Ovis aries: one gene and its partners. The protein of the gene in region 3 binds, or shares a complex with, the protein of the main gene of each other region. Links are inferred from orthologs where the notes say so. Each region holds a gene or a part of one and is shown on either strand. Other genes may lie near its edges. The genes, in order: PPIH, AAR2 and TXNL4A.

Evidence for each region.
Region 1: TXNL4A (region 3) and PPIH share a complex: the UniProt entries of both Homo sapiens proteins name them as parts of the U4/U6-U5 tri-snRNP complex. The link is inferred for Ovis aries from reciprocal best matches to the Homo sapiens genes TXNL4A and PPIH.
Region 2: TXNL4A (region 3) and AAR2 share a complex: the UniProt entries of both Homo sapiens proteins name them as parts of the U5 snRNP complex. The link is inferred for Ovis aries from reciprocal best matches to the Homo sapiens genes TXNL4A and AAR2.

What each region holds. Positions count from the first base shown.
Region 1 is NC_056054.1:17,160,703-17,166,091, forward strand, and holds the start of PPIH (peptidyl-prolyl cis-trans isomerase H), read left to right. Parts: upstream 1-1,961; 5' UTR 1,962-1,985; coding exon 1,986-2,051; exon of another isoform or gene 2,052-2,386; coding exon 2,387-2,451; intron 2,452-2,742; coding exon 2,743-2,766; exon of another isoform or gene 2,767-2,860; coding exon of another isoform or gene 2,861-2,883; intron 2,884-3,038; coding exon 3,039-3,083; intron 3,084-3,334; coding exon 3,335-3,377; intron 3,378-5,389. UniProt on the Homo sapiens protein: PPIase that catalyzes the cis-trans isomerization of proline imidic peptide bonds in oligopeptides and may therefore assist protein folding. Participates in pre-mRNA splicing.
Region 2 is NC_056066.1:65,347,616-65,352,942, forward strand, and holds the start of AAR2 (protein AAR2 homolog), read left to right. Parts: upstream 1-1,816; 5' UTR 1,817-2,038; intron 2,039-4,828; 5' UTR 4,829-4,871; coding exon 4,872-5,327. UniProt on the Homo sapiens protein: Component of the U5 snRNP complex that is required for spliceosome assembly and for pre-mRNA splicing.
Region 3 is NC_056076.1:700,824-706,047, forward strand, and holds the start of TXNL4A (thioredoxin-like protein 4A), read left to right. Parts: upstream 1-1,818; 5' UTR 1,819-1,897; intron 1,898-2,375; 5' UTR 2,376-2,390; coding exon 2,391-2,543; coding exon of another isoform or gene 2,544-2,622; intron 2,623-4,253; exon of another isoform or gene 4,254-4,314; intron 4,315-4,612; coding exon of another isoform or gene 4,613-4,682; intron 4,683-5,224. UniProt on the Homo sapiens protein: Plays a role in pre-mRNA splicing as component of the U5 snRNP and U4/U6-U5 tri-snRNP complexes that are involved in spliceosome assembly, and as component of the precatalytic spliceosome (spliceosome B complex).

The DNA of each region.
Region 1 (5,389 bases), on a different chromosome or scaffold from region 3:
ATCCCTACTATGTGCCATTCAATAGTGCACACACCTGTGAAGGCAGATGAGAAAAGTCTCACTTTTTGTTGGCAAACCCAAGTCCCTGTGTCTGCAGAACAGTGAGAACAAACAAATAGAAAAATTAGAAAGAATTTGGAGGAAAGAAAGTTTTATTGCATTAGCCATGCGAGAACAGGTGGTTCCTGCTGGAAAGACCCAAACTTTCCATTAGTTTTCAGGGAATAGTTTTTAAAGGCATCATTTGGGGCTGATGACTGTAGGGTGTATGACTTTATTCTGATTGGTTGGTGGTGAGGTAACAGGGTGACATTCCAGGAATCTCAATCATCAACCTTCTAGTTCCCACCAGTCTGGCTTCTCAGAAGGTAGTTACCATCCTCTACCTGGGTGAGGGCTTTAGTTCCTGCAGCACTCAAAGATCTGTATCAGATTATTACATATATCCCATGAGGAGGGACTAAGGCTCTGTTTTATCATTGAAATACAATTTTTTTAAATTTAATTGTAGTTGATTAACAATGTTGTTAGTTTCAGGTGTACAACAAAGTGAACTAAATTTTATTTATTTATTGCTGTGCAGCAGACAGGATCTTAGTTCCCTGACCAGAGAGCAAACCCATGTGTGCTGGAAGCATAGTCTTAACCACTGACCCACCAGGGAAGTCCCTGAACTATCATTCTGTGACTGCTTTTCCTTTGTTTTTGCATTCCCTCATTAGGAACTATTTGGATCTGCTCTTTGGAACAAGATCCAGGAGGGTCAAGTCTTTCTACAAACAAGGAATCAGGTACATAAGCAAGGGTTTTATACACAGCAGTGTCCTGCCAAGGGCCGGCTGTCTCAATGCCTTTTTCTTTGGTACTCAACAACCTTGAGGGAAACAGGTGGACAAGAAAGGGAACGTTATAGATAGGTTATTCCTAAGCTTTGCAAAGGCACCCGGTTTTTACGAAGGACCCAGCTTCATTTTCATGGAGTTAAACAAGTGTGAAGCAGCTGGTGAGGTGGGGAAACCATATAATTTTGGATGGTGAATGGCATGAAGAAAATCAGTAATCTATCCAAAAGAGTGACAGAGGGCTACTTTAGATTGGGTGCAATGTTCCTGACTAATGACCTGAGATGAGACTTGACCTACAAGACCACTCCGCACCCTCATGAAGATTTAGAAGAATATTAAAGTCAGTTAACAGGCCCTAAATAGAATCCGAGTCTCCGTGACCTAGAGGAACAGGCTAGAGTCCCAGGTAGGTGGCCAGATAATGTAATGTAGGTCTTTTATGTAGCAACTGGATTTTATTCTAAATAAGGGAATCCGGGAGTGATTTATAAGCAGATTCATTTAAAAGCTCTAGCTGCTCTGCAGTAAGTGACTTGGAGATGATGAAAGCGGAAGCTTGTGGGAGAACTGGAATTAAAGTCTAGTGCCTGACTTCATGAAAGTGCTGAATATACTGAACAAGCCTTATATGCCAGGCTGTTCAAAGCGCTGAGGATAAACACGGTTTTTGCTTCCGGGCCTCCAGACTAGTGAAAAGGGGTAAGAGGCCGCACATATGATGGTTCAGACGGTCTTGGCTGCAAAGGCTGATCAGACCCTGAAGACTGCCTAGTCCAAGCCCCGTAGCCTGAGCGAGAATCATCCGTACTGCACTTACTGTATCCAAGTGAATGAGAGGCCCGTGGGCCTCGAGCGAAAAAAAAGCCGAGGATGTCCTCCGGCCTCAGCGCTCAAGGAGACTCAGGTGAGGTAACAACTTGCGACTCGTCAAAACGGAAGGAAGCCCCGGCCACCCACGCAGCGCGCAGCTTGGCATCGAAGGCAGAGAGCTTCCGGGGGCGGGGCCGACCGCCTCCCACCGCACCGCCCCCCCCCCCGGCTCTTCCTGCGCCTGCGCCGGAAATAAACACCTCCCGGCGGAGCAAGATCATAGGATCGCCGGAACCCCGCGCTCCCGACTTCTGCTTCCGGGTCAGAGGCATGGCGGTGGCAAATTCAAGCCCTGTCAATCCCGTGGTATTCTTTGATGTCAGCATTGGCGGCCAGGTGAGGTCTTGGCAGCCAGCCAGCCCGATGCCAAAGGGAACGTGCACGCGGTCTGGCAGGCAGATCACCTCCTCAGGTGTAGCAAACTCGGGAAGCCAAAAAGTGAAATTGAACCAGAACCTACCGACCTGCGGGGCGGGGGTGAGGGAGTAGGAAGAGGAGGAGTCTTGCGCATCCTAGCGCCCGGCTGGTGGAGGGACCGGGTGGAACGGAAGAGTAGGCTACGGAGGCGGAGGTGGGAGAGACCAAGCGGCATGGGGGCCCGAGGGTTCCCTGTTCGGTGAGGCCTTCACGGGCTTGGACTGGGCTTTCTGAACGTCTCTCGCCGGTTGCAGGAGGTTGGTCGTATGAAGATTGAGCTCTTTGCAGACGTTGTGCCTAAGACGGCGGAGAATTTTAGGTAAGATGATGTTCTTTGCTGGATAAACCAAACGAGAAGCTGGGCCTGTCTGTGGAATCTTCTGCCTACCTCTATCCGTTCATTCACCGTCCTTGAGATCTGACTTCTCTGGGTATCTCTCTGAATAGTCTTGACCGTCCCCTTTTCAGTTTATGTTAATCTGTATGCCTGGACGTCTGACCAGCCAGTTGGTGGGCTAGCTAGCGCCGACGTTCCCCTTCCCGCTGAGGTTAGGGACGCTCAGAGTTGTGATGCCATGGCGACTGAATCGTTCACTCTTTTCCTTTTCAGGCAGTTCTGCACAGGAGAATTCAGGTCAGTCTCTGACGTGGTTGACTTCTCTGCTTGCTCCTGAGGGCTGTCCTGAGGCTGCAGTTGAGGGTATTGGGGAATCACCGGCAGGCCTTGTATGACTGGTGACAGTAATAGAAGGTATTACTATGGGTCTGTCCTCAGTTCATTTGCCTTCTTCGTCTCTCTTCTCCCGACCATCTTTAGAAGGGTGTCTCTGGCTCGACTGTATGGTAAACGTGAAAGGCCTATGTTTACCTGTTTACCATTTCAAGTCTCTTTCTTTTTGCTTATAGAAAAGATGGGGTTCCGATAGGATACAAGGGGAGCACCTTCCACAGGTAAGGCCTTTGGCAAGCCATCCTGGGGGACTTTTAAAATTACTATTAGTATGGTTTAGAATTACTTCCTTGGGGGATTAGTCTCTTCAGAGGAAAACAAAACCATAGCATAATTCTTAGTTCTTGAGAAGGGATGCTTTTGTGAACTCAACCATTGATTTGAGGACTGAAGTGATAAACATTATATTTTGAAATTAATGTTATTCCAAACCACACAATCTTCTCCCAGCATCCTTTGTTCTCTGTTTCAGGGTCATAAAAGATTTCATGATTCAGGGTGGAGATTTTGTTAATGTAAGTACTGTTCCTTTCCTATTAAGGGCCTATAAGTTTTGTTTTTGTTGGTTGTTGTTATTGAAGCTGCTCCTCGGGGAACTGAGAACAGTAGCCAAGTTTGCTGGGGGAGGAGGTGGGAATGGGAATATCCTGTGATGGCTGCTACTCGCTGCATCACTAGATAACATATTAGCACTTTGATTGAGTCACTCACTCCAAATCTCAGTCTTTTAGGGCTGGGAACTGACTTTCCCAGCATACCTATAGGTGATCCATGACAGACCCAAATTAACTGGGCACATGGAATTTAGCTAGAAATCAGTTACAGTTAACTTTCTCTAAATGGGGGCAAGTCCCTTTCCAGTGAGTTAAATGCTTATGCCCTGATTTCCCATTCACTTCTGGTATCCCAGTGCCTCGGAAGGTGAGTTGTTATTTTTTTAATCAAGTTCATTAGTGGGCAAGAAATCAGAGAGTTCTGGAAGGATATTTTCCCTATTCACTAGGAGAACCCATTGAATTAATCCTTCATTGCTAAGCATGATTTTTCTTGCCACTGTATGCATCCCCATTTCAAGCTTCCCAACCTTGCAGGGTTCTGAATAAACCACATTTATGCTTTCTTAAACCTACGTTTGTCCATACCCACCCATTTCTGTGCATGATCTTTCTTATTAATATCATTTGGTTAGTCATGTTGCTGTTTTCTTGGATCTGGGAGACATTCTTTATCCTTTACATGTATATTTAGTTTGACTGTTAGGAGTTTTTTTAAGATTTCTATCTTTCCTACCCAGATAAGTTTACAAAGTGGCAGATTTGGGGCTGAATCCGAAACAGATATGCTTTGTATCATCTGTATGATGTTGTAAAACTGGGAAATTTTCCGGAAAGTTCTGGAGTTTTGTTTTCTCTGTTACAACTGAAAAGTAGGGGTGCACTTGGCCTGTGTTTCTCATGTAGCAACATTTGGTTGAGTCAAGTAACAGCTCCCTTTAGACAGGTATGTCCTTATTATTTCACCACAGTTCCCACCACTGGCTTCCCTTCTTTACGTCACATACTCCTATAGGCATTTAAGTTTGCAACCCCTGGCCACGACTGATTAGAGTAGGGCTTGGGGTGACCATATCCTTTTTTATTGGCAAGTAAGAAGGGCTAAGATGCTATTCTCTGTGTTCTTTCTTCCAAAGGCTTCTATACTGCTATATTGTCTTAGCAGGGATAGGACTAACTTCTTATGGGTCATTGCTAGGCACATGTGATCACTTGCTAATTGCTCTAGAGTTAGCAGTTAGTCAGCCAGAAGGCTGTCAGGGAGAAGAAATTACTCAGAGCCACCCTTAGGGCAGAAAAAATAGAATGAGCAAGACGTAGAAGCAGAATTTGAGACCTTCTAAAGTTGGACTAAGAATATTTGCTTGTTTGTTTGTTTTAATAATGTGTTTTAAAAATTTAAAAGATAATGTATTTTTTCTGGTTGCAAAACAAAAGTACAACAATGAAAATAAATCGTCTCAAGGAATATACTCTTGGCATTTTACTTTACAATTGCCCATCTTATTGTTGCGAACATTTGTATGTCAAATATAACTTTTAACAGACTTAAACTTTTAAAAATTTATGCTCAGTCACTGTGTTTTCCCTTGTCACGATCTACTTCCAAAACATTCTTGCTAATAACTCCTTACTGTTACCTTAGGAAAAGACAGTGAATTTATTTGATCAGTCCACTATCATGGAAGATTTAAGTTGCTTTCTGTTTTTTGTCCTGCAAATCAATTTGGTCATTTTCCCTACTCTGGCTTCTGGAGCACAGTAGATAGTATGATTATAGAAAATGATGTATTAACTGATCTTTTCTCTAGGTTTTTTTTTTTTTTTTAATTGGAAAGGAACATGTTTTCTCTTCCTTCTATATGTATGTGTGTATTTATGTGTAGTTAAAGAAATCCCATGGACAGAGGAGCCTGGCAGGCTACATCCATTGGGTCACAAGAGTCAGACATGACTTAGGGACGAAACAACAA
Region 2 (5,327 bases), on a different chromosome or scaffold from region 3:
TCCTGTCCGTTGTCAGAAGCAATTGTGAATCCTTCCCCGTATTTTCCCTGTAGGTTTCCTTTAGTTATCTGTCATTCCTGGGATCCTGAAATAGGACATCGTTTGCAAACACTGGGTACCCACACACCCTGGATCTGTGTGTCTGTCTCCCATAAATACAGGGTCAGTCTCTGAGCTGTTAAGGAATAGTGTGGCTGATTCATTTAGATCAGTGATTCTTAACACGGGGGTATGTGTGATTTTGTCACCCAGGGAACATTTAGCAATGTCTGGAAATACTTTTGGTTGTCACAACTGAGGGATGCTACTAACATATAGTGGGTAGAAACCAGGGATCCTGCTAAACATCCTACAACACAAGAGGACAGCTGCCCTACAACAAAGAATTATTTGGCTCCAAATCTCAATAGTATCAAGGTTGAGAAACCTGATTTGAACAGACATGCAACCCACCACGTGAGATTCCTGGGCTAACATCTACGATGCCTGTGCCCAGAGTTCAGTGCCCCAGAGTCTCAGAAGATGGTGAGTTCAGCTGGAACAGGGAGCTTGTCATGAAAACAGACCATGATGCTCAGCGCCCAAGACCAGGAATGGGGAGGGGAGGGAGGGAGCTGAGCTTCTTCGTGCAGGAAATGGAACTGACATGACAGGCTGAGATTGACACGCGTGACTGTGACTGATAGAGGCCATCTCTGGCTAATCCTGGGGCAGCTCGTTGTGATCCACCGTGACTGCAGGGCCCAGTCTAGTCTGCAACCCACTAAGAGATGAATTTTGACTGAGACAGATGGGCATGTCCAGCTGTCACTGAGGAATTGTGACAGGCAAGCTAAAGAGCAGCAGCACAGAGACAAGAAGAGCCAGTCACCAATGAGACCTTGGTTTGCATTCTAGCCTGGCCTCTCTCTGGCTGTGCAACTGCTCGGAGCCTCAGTTTTCTCTTCTGCATGTTGGGAATACCGAGTCTGCTTACTAGGGTTAGTGCAAGGATTAGATATCATATACCCAAGGGGCCTGCCCTCTGGATTTTGAATTTCCTTAGGCAGCCCTCAGAATCACATAAGCCAGTTCCTTGTAATAAAGCTCTTAAATACCTCCCGCTGGCTCTGCTTCTTTGATTGAACCCTGAGTGATACAACCACCCAGCACAGAGCTAGGCTCCAAAATAGAAGTCACTAATTAATAAAGAATCACTGTCATTAATTAAATGCATAATATTTAATAATTGAACTGGGTCTTTGTGTGGATTCCAGAAAAACAGCAGAGAACAAGACAGGTTCCCTGCCTCAAGGTGCATATACAGCCTACCTAAGATTTCATACTAGGCCTGCACTGCCAGAAGATATCGGGTGTTTATGGCAGGAAGGATCACTGTGGTGACTGCGGCTGTTAGACTGGGTCTTTCTGGCCTGGGTTTCTGAAGCTCTCCCCTACAGCTGAGTATGGTTGGAAGCAAGACCAGGTGATAAAGGGCCAACTGTGACACTCACTCTGATTGAGATCGGCTGACCAGGACTATGACTGAGCCTCTGACTGTGGCTACTGGACAGCTAGGACCTTGACCAGAACCTCAGAGACCACGACTGATTGAAACCGAAAAGCCGTGACTTGCGGATGTGTTTCTGTACCTGGATATAAAATGCATCGTTTGATGAAAGTTATTATCCACGGGTTCAAGAACTAAATCCAGCAACTCAAAGTAGCCAAAGGCAATGTTCCATGGGGCGGAACCTGCTGGCACGGGCCGTTTCTTCCGCGACCCAGGGACCCGCCCGGCCCCTTTCCCCTGTTGTTCCCCTCCGGCGCTATAGAGGGAGAACTTCCGGTGCGCTTCTGCGATCCCTGGACCTGGGCGAGACACCAGTCGGTGAGTGCAGCCTCCTGTCCTCTTTCAACTGTTCTGCTTTCGTTGTCTGTGTGGTCCGGCCACCCTTCTTTCCGGCTGGGGATCGCGGAGGGCCTGAACTCGGGCACCGAGCTGGGACTGTGGCGTCCCGGTCTTGAGCCGGTGGTGGGACCGACCTGCCTCTTTCAGGTGGGTTACTCTTATTGCTCCCCTTGTAACCGTCAGATACGCCGTCGCCAGAACTTTGTGGGGGCACCTGGGAAACTTCTTTTTTCCTAACTTTAGAACTTATGGGCTCGGAGGCCTTGGCTCCGCCTGACGTGGTTCTGGTGTTCTCTATCTTCGGTAAGGTCTTTTCCACGAACCGAGCCTTTGTTTCTCATCTACAACATGGATATCGTGCTTTTATTAAAAACAGATGTTTAGCCAGCGTCTAATATGTGCTAGAGGTACGAAAGACCCGCATCTCCTAGAGGTGACAGCCCTCTATTAATATTTGCGAACTTGCAGTTGTGATCAGTGAAATGGAAAGATAAAAAGCACTTTGAGAGCACATCACAGGAGATCTGACTTAGCCCCAGGTCGAGGAAGCGTTGCTGAGAAGGTAAATATTAAGCAGAGATCAGAAAAATGGTTTGAGACAGAGAGGAGGGAAGAGTTTTCTATCAGGGGAGCCTCTGTTTGAGGGTCTGAAAGAGTCAGTGTGGCTGCAGCAGAGCTTGGGGAGGAAGCATGATATGAAACAAGCTGGAGGAGTTTCCATGGACCAGGCCATACAGCCCTTGTAGGTCGCAGTGGGAATTTTGGTTTGCCAAGAGCCACGTGAGAAGTCTCTCAGAGGATGTTAAGTATGGGTGGTGACATGCTTAGACTGGCGGTTTGAGAAGGTCACTCCTGCTTTTGGATGGAGAAGGGATTGCAGGGACAATCTGGCTGAGGGACATGGTAGCTTAGATTAAGGATGTGGTGGAGAGAAGTGGGTAGATGTGATTCTCTGTATCTCAAGGCATCTTCTTTGTGCCAGGTCATTTGCCAGCTGTGGAAGATATAGTGAAGAGAATTACAATCTGCTGGAAGTAGAAAGAAAGAAGTGGCATTATCAAAGAGGAGCACACAGATGCCACTGGGAAAATGGCTAATTGATGAGCAGTTATTCTAAATGCAATAGCTGTTCATTTAATAAATATATTAAGTGCCTTTTGAACTCAAGATTGGGGATAGTAAGATGATATAAATTATTTAGAGCAGTGGCTTTCAGACTTTTTGCACTGTGACCTACAGTAACGCATACATTTTACATGGTGACCAAGAGTCCATACAGACACACAAAGCTTCAGAAAACAGTACTTCGCTTTACTTCTTAGGATGTACTCTGATTTTTTAAAATTTTGCCCTTTTATTTAAAAAAAAACAACAAACAATGTTGGTTGAGATCCTCTAAGTTGATCTTTTAACCCATTATCAGATTGTGACTTGCAGTTTGAAAAAAAATGTTGATTTAGAGTCATAATCATTTGTGTGGGTTTTGGGTAAAGACAATAAAATATGTCCTTTCCATATTGGGAAAAGTGTTGGTCTTCCTTTCCTCATGGTATTGTTTTGTTTGTTTAAATAAAATGAGTAAAAGGAATTAAACAGGCAGCTGGTTCTTCTGTTTGTGAAGTTTTGTGGTCTTGTTGATATGTCTGGCTGGATTGGAAGTGCCTGGAAGGCAGTAACTGTCTTCTCCATGATTATTTCTGTTCGTGTCTGGCAAAAATCCTGCAGGCTCTCCAAGGTTATTTGTTGAATTGAATAGGTAGGTGTCTTGGGACTAGAGAGTTAGACGTGTTCTGTTAAAATTAGTTCATGTTGGACCCATCCTTATAAATACAGAGACTATGTCTGTTTACAGAAGTCTTATCAGTGTGTCCTCTTGGGTAGTTCAGAGGTAGATAAAAATAAATGTTCTAAGGTCTTGGTCTTCTAAATACTGATCCGAGGCCAGCCATGCCACCTGGATCCATTTGGGTGAGCAGTCCAGAGGTGCTACTGACTGTGGACCCTTTGGAAAGTTGTTTCACTCCCTGGACTTTAGACTTCTTTATATATATATATATATTTTATATGTATATTTGTATATATGCAGGAGAAGAGGGTTGTGGTTGAAAAGCTCTCCACTGCCCAAACCTTTTGTGAATTTTATTTATTTTATTTTATTTTACTTTATTTTACGTTACAATACTCTTGTGAATTTTAGATGCTAAGCACCCCGTTTCCACTTTCTGTCCATTTCTGGGCCTCCGCTGAGGCTTATGGGAAACTGGGTGGATGCTTCTCGAATCTTCTAAGTTTTAGACAGAATTATAGTTTAAGACAGTTTAGGCACACTAATCCTTTAGAGTGGACCAACCAGGCATTCTCCACCTTCATCTTCTGTTATGAGAAGGAGATCTGAAGAGTGCACAGATCTGAAGGAGCTTCGGAGTGCACAGTGGGAAGAACGCTGGCCTGGAGGGCAGGGTACCCGGGTTCTAACTGGGTCCTTGTGTGGTCTTGAACATGTCTCTTTTCTTTAACTGATGTCTTTCCAGCTGTGCAGTGAGTGTTCTTGCTCATTAAACTCAGAAACAAAAACTGTCTTCTCTTTGAGTGTCGTTTTCTTTACCTGTGATGAAAATTAAGGTAGAAAATTATGTCACTGGAAAAGATCCTGATGCTGGGAAAGATTGAAGTCAGAGGAGAAGGGGACGACAGAGGATGAGATGGTTGGATGGCATCACTGACTCAATGGACATGAGTTTGAGCAAGCTCCAGAGTTGGTGATGGACAGGGAAGCCTAGCATGCTACAGTCTAAGGGGTTGCAGAGTCGGGCGCAACTGAATGACTGAACTGAATTGTTTCAGGGGTCTAACTCAGTATCTGGCACATAGAGAATGCTCAGCAAATGAAGAATCCTTCCCAAGGTTCTGATTAACTCTGACTTCTTTCTTTTTCAGCGGAATAGAAAAGTTTTCCTTTCGATCACTCACCCCTGGCCCCATGGCTGCCATGCAGATGGATCCTGAGCTTGCCCGGCGCCTCTTCTTTGAAGGGGCCACCGTGGTCATCCTGAATATGCCCAAGGGGACAGAGTTTGGCATTGACTACAACTCCTGGGAAGTGGGGCCCAAGTTCCGAGGTGTGAAGATGATCCCGCCAGGCATCCACTTCCTCCACTACAGCTCTGTGGACAAGGCCAATCCCAGGGAGGTGGGCCCTCGCATGGGCTTCTTCCTTAACCTGCAGCAGCGGGGGCTGAAAGTCCTACGCTGGGATGCGGCCCGGGAAGAGGTCGACCTGTCCCCAGCCCCAGAAGCTGAGGTGGAGGCCATGAGGGCCAACCTCCAGGAGCTGGACCAGTTCCTGGGACCTTACCCCTACGCCACGCTCAAGAAGTGGATCTCCCTCACCAGCTTCATCAGCGAGGCCACCGTGGAGAAGCTGCAGCCCGAGAGT
Region 3 (5,224 bases):
ATAGTGAAAGTCGCTCATTCATGTCTGACTCTTATGCGACCCATGTATAGGCCATGGAATCCTCTCGGCCATAATACTGGAGTGGGTAGACTTTCCCTTCTCCAGGCGATCTTCCCTACCCAGGGCTCCCACACTGCAGGCAGATTCTTTACCCACTGAGCCACAAATGGTATGTGAATAATATCTCAACAAGCTTTTAAACGAAATAAGTATCTGGAGTGTAATGCTGCACAATGATATGAACATACTAAATGCCGCTGAACTATATAGCTAAAATGGTAACTTTTATGATTGCAGCCATGAAATTAAAAGACGCCTACTCCTTGGAAGAAGAGTTATGACCAACCCAGATAGCATATTGAAAAGCAGAGACATTACTTTGCCAACTAAGGTCTGTCTAGTCAAGGCTATGGTTTTCCAGTGGTCATGTATGGATGAGAGAGTTGGACTGTGAAGAAAGCTGAGCGCCAAAGAATTGATGCTTTTGAACTGTGGTGTTGGAGAAGACTCTTGAGATCCCTTGGACTGCAAGGAGATCCAACCAGTCCATTCTAAAGGAGATCAGCCCTGGGTGTTCTTTGGAAGGACTGATGGTAAAGCTGAAACTCCAGTACTTTGGCCACCTCGTGCGAAGAGTTGACTCATTGGAAAAGACTCTGATGCTGGGAAGCACTGGGAGCAGGAGGAAAAGGGGACGACAGAGGATGAGATGGCTGGATGGCATCACGGACTCAATGGACGTGAGTCTGAGTGAACTCCAGGAGATGGTGATGGACAGGGAGGCCTGGCGTGCTGTGATTCATGGGGTCGCAAAGAGTCGGACACAACTGAGCGACTGAACTGATACTATTTAAATTTTACGATAACAATATGACCAACCTAGACAGCATTTTAAAAAGCAGAGACATTACTTTGCCAACAAAGGTCAGTCTAGTCAAGGCTACAGTTTTTCCATTAGTCATGTATGGATGTGAGAGTTGGGCTATAAAGAAAGCTGAGCACTGAAGAATTGATGCTTTTGAACTGTGGTGTTGGAGAAGACTCTTGAGAGTCCCTTGGACTGCAAGGAGTTCCAACCAGTCCATCCTAAAGGAGATCAGTCCTGGGTGTTCATTGGAAGGACTGATGCTGAAGCTGAAACTCCAATACTTTGGCCAACTGATGCGGAGAGCTGACTCATTTGAAAAGACCCTGATGCTGGGAAAGACTGAGGGCAGGAGAAGGGGAAGACAGAGGATGAGATGGTTGGATGGCATCACCGACACAATAGTCATGGGTTTGGGTGGACTCCGGGAGTTGGTGATGGACAGGGAGGCCTGGCATGCTGCGGTTCATGGGGTCGCAGAGTCGGACACGACTGAGCAACTGAACAACAAAAAATGTTTAGAAATACTAATTTCAATAACTTATTTGGGGGGCATTTGCGTCTTACCAGTACTCTTCTGTTAATGAACCGCTTTTCACAAGTAAAGCAACTGTGCTTGCGTCTGGAAAGCAGGGCCTCCAAAATAATTAGGGGGCTCTGTGTGGGAGTGAACGGCGACGAGCCCTTCTTCAGAGAGGTTATCCTCTTCGTTCACTCCCTGGTCCCAGTCGCACCGAGGAAACTTGAACGCCGACTCACTGGAGACACAGTAGGTCTGAAGCAGCCGCCGCCTCTAAGACGCTCATGACACTAAACCCACCTTCAGCCCCAGTACCTGAGCGGAGTCCACGCCCCTGCCCGGCCCGGGCGCGCGCACGCACTGGCCGGCGCACACGCTCTGCGGGCGCGCGCACGCACTCGCCGGCGCTCACGCTCTGTGGGCGGGCGGGCTCACTCGCCGGCGCTCTCGGCCTGTGGGAGCGCTCCGCGCCCGGAAGGACTGCTGAGCGGGAGGGTCCGGTGTGGGCAGAGGTGGGTGCGCGGCTGGAGACGGTGGGAAGGGGGCGGCGAGTGATGCGCGGGTGTGCGATTCCAGGGGTCCCCTCGCCTTGGTTTCTTGGCCGGGGGACAGTGGCGTTCCTGTGGCGGGATCGGGGTCGGAACTTGGTAGACGCGGGCCTGGCCCTGCGGGCGGCGCATCGACTGCCCCTCGGGGTGAGCCCCCGTGAGCCGGGGGCTCCGTGGGCTCCGTGGTGAGGCTCCGTGGGCTCCGTGGTGAGGCTCCGTGGGGTGGGGCCCCCGTGGTGAGGCTCCGTGGGCTCCGTGGTGAGGCTCCGTGGGCTCCGTGGTGAGGCTCCGTGGGCTCGGTGGTGAGGCTCCGTGGGCTCCGTGGTGAGGCTCCGTGGGGTGGGGCCCCCGTGGTGAGGCTCCGTGGGGCGGGGGGTCCCGTGGGTGTGCCATGGGGGGGCTGGGAGGAACTGGCCGGTGATTTCCCTCCACTCCCCCGCAGACCCATTGGCTCAAGATGTCGTACATGCTCCCGCACCTGCACAATGGCTGGCAGGTTGATCAGGCCATCCTTTCGGAAGAAGACCGCGTGGTCGTCATTCGATTTGGGCACGACTGGGACCCTACCTGCATGAAGATGGATGAGGTTCTGTACAGCATTGCTGAAAAGGTAAAGCAGCCACACCTCCCGTCACGTCCTGCCGCCAGGTTTGGTGTTTGCATCCTGTCGGATTGCTGTTGTTTTGCCGGTAAGAATTAAAAGTACAGCCAGTTCACCGGTTAAAGAGAAGCAGTAGGATTCACAGAAGTACAGACATACCTTGGAGTATGAGGATGGGCTCCCTGAAATTGGTCAGAATAGCTTATATCCTTACTGGCAGAAGTTTCCATAGATTCTCAAATTTTTAAGAGGTTCATGATGTCTCTCCTTGAAGAAGTGATTCTTATTAATTTATAGCGGTTTTAACTCATAGGTGTTTTCAAAAATTTACATCTATAGTGCCAGGAGCAAAACACGTTTGCAGCATTTGGCTGAGTGTAGGAGCTTACTTTGAATGGCTTAGTTTAAAAAACTTGACTTTTTTTTGGTACCGTGTTTGTTTGTTGTATGTATTGAGCAGAACATCTATGGTAACAACATAGTAAATTCCCTTCTTTTTCTTTGAGTCCCTTCTTTACCCCAGGGTGCTCTTTGTAAGTGACTTGATTTATAGCTTAGAGTGATACCAGTGTAGGAAACACTGGGAAAAGGTAGAACTGTAATGTTAGAACTAGTTTTCCTAATCCTTAAATTTAGTACAGGGGGTTGTCTGTGGCCCTTTGCTGACAATAAAGAGCAATTGTAGGGTACTGTTGAGTAACTAGGGCTTAATTCTCTTTCTGTAATTGTCTCATGGGTATTTTAAGGTAAATTTGATTTAGATTTTTGCAACTGTAGTAATAGGGCAAGAGGCAAAAATATTAGGGTATTAATAAAAAGTTTAATATTCAATGTTAATTTGAGAGGTTATTCATTTTATTAAAGAGTATAAAAATAAGGGAAACATTGAAGCCATCATTTATTTCACAGGAGTAAGATATGCTAGTATGGGCTGGATTAAAATAACTCCTTTGAGTAAAGAGTAACAGGTGTAAGGATATAGTTTGTATTTAGGAATTGAAAAGTAGTCTGACCTGCCATCAGTAATTTTCACTGTCTCCTCTTTGGTAGGACAGGCAGAGTGAGGTAGGGGTGATGGCACTCTGAACATTAGGGACTATCTTTCTGTGTCTGTCACCGAAAGTGCATCTCAGAGAGTCTGATCCTGGAGATCTGAGATGAGATCCAGAAGCTCCCCCAGGAATTCTGAATCCCTTCAAGGAGATCCAAGTCAGAGCAGGAGTCTGTGGTGATAACCTTACCCTCCTCTTCCTCTTGGACAGAAAGGTGTTGAGGGAGCTTGAAGAGATGCCTGGGGAACTCAGGAGAGCAGGGTTCTTCCAATTGGGTCCTCCCTGTCAGGTCCGAGGTCAGGAGTGAGGTGGTGCCCAGAAGTCATTTCCCCATGACTTGAGCCACAGTGGTTAAGGGCAGAGACTGCAGAAGTCAGTGATGATGGATGAAGACCCTGTTTCAGTAAGTGAATCACTGCTGTGTGGACGCTGATGTAACTTAGGTGGGTGTTCTGGGTTCTGCCTTGCAGGTGACAAGTAAGCATCAGGGGATGTCCAGACCCGGTGGCCCTCAGCACGAGGCTAGAATGGCAGAGGCGTGAGGGTTGTTTGCTGTTCATATCTGAGCAAAACTCAGCAAGATACTCTTAGCTAGGAGACAGATTTTGTGTCAGTGTAAGTTTTTAGGGACTTTTACCAGAATTGTTCTTTTCTAATCCCTATGTAGCGGTCAGAGACCAGATTGCTATACTGCTAGCAGGTGGCTCTTTTTGGAATGGAACCTGTTGGTAAGAACAGTTTAATTGGGCTCACTTGGAGTATTTTTCTCTAGTCTTTTAAGTGATTCTTTTTCTTTTATCCCGATTTCTATTTTAATAAACTTCTAATACTATGTAATAGTATAGTCTTTAAAAATGCAAACTTGAAATGCGTTACACAAATGTTAATGTTCTATTTTCTGCTTAGTGTAAGGGCAGAATATGAGTTTATAATTTTGGAAGCCCTTTTTGGGGACGTTCAACAGGAATTTTTGAAATCTAAGGTTTTAGTATAAAGAACAATTTAACTGTCTATCTCCCTCTGCAGAAATGGCAGATAATGGGAGATCTTCCTCATCTTGTTACGAGCTCTGTTTGGATACCCCAGCTGTTTTAAAGTGAGTAAAATTCCAACATTGAGGCTGGACTTGATTATACTATTCTCCTGGAATGTGTTTTATTGACTGACTGCTTCAGCAGCCCCAACCCCACCTCATGCTGGATTAGTTTTGAGCTGTACTGAAAACATAGAGATACGTTGAAAGATTTTGCAGATGTTTGCAGTTTGGTAGAATTATTATCAAAATAAAGTTCCAGGACTTCCCTGTGGTCCAGTGGCCCCGACCCCAGGCTCCCAAAGCAGGGGGCCCAGATTCAATCCCTGGTCAGGGAACTAGCTCCCATGTGCCACAACTAAAGATCCCACGTGCCACAACTGAAGATCCCACATGCCACAACTAAGACCTGGTGGCAGCAAAGTAAATAAAAATAAATATTTAAAAAATTAAGTTTTCTGATTAGTGGGTGATTTTATGCACAGCTTCAAGGTAAGACTATTTTTGTCTTGCCATTTTGGGGGAGTGTACTTTGCCAGCACTGTGACCAAGTCCCATTATGTGTAAGAATAAATGGGATGTTTAATTCTTGTATGTTTAAAGAG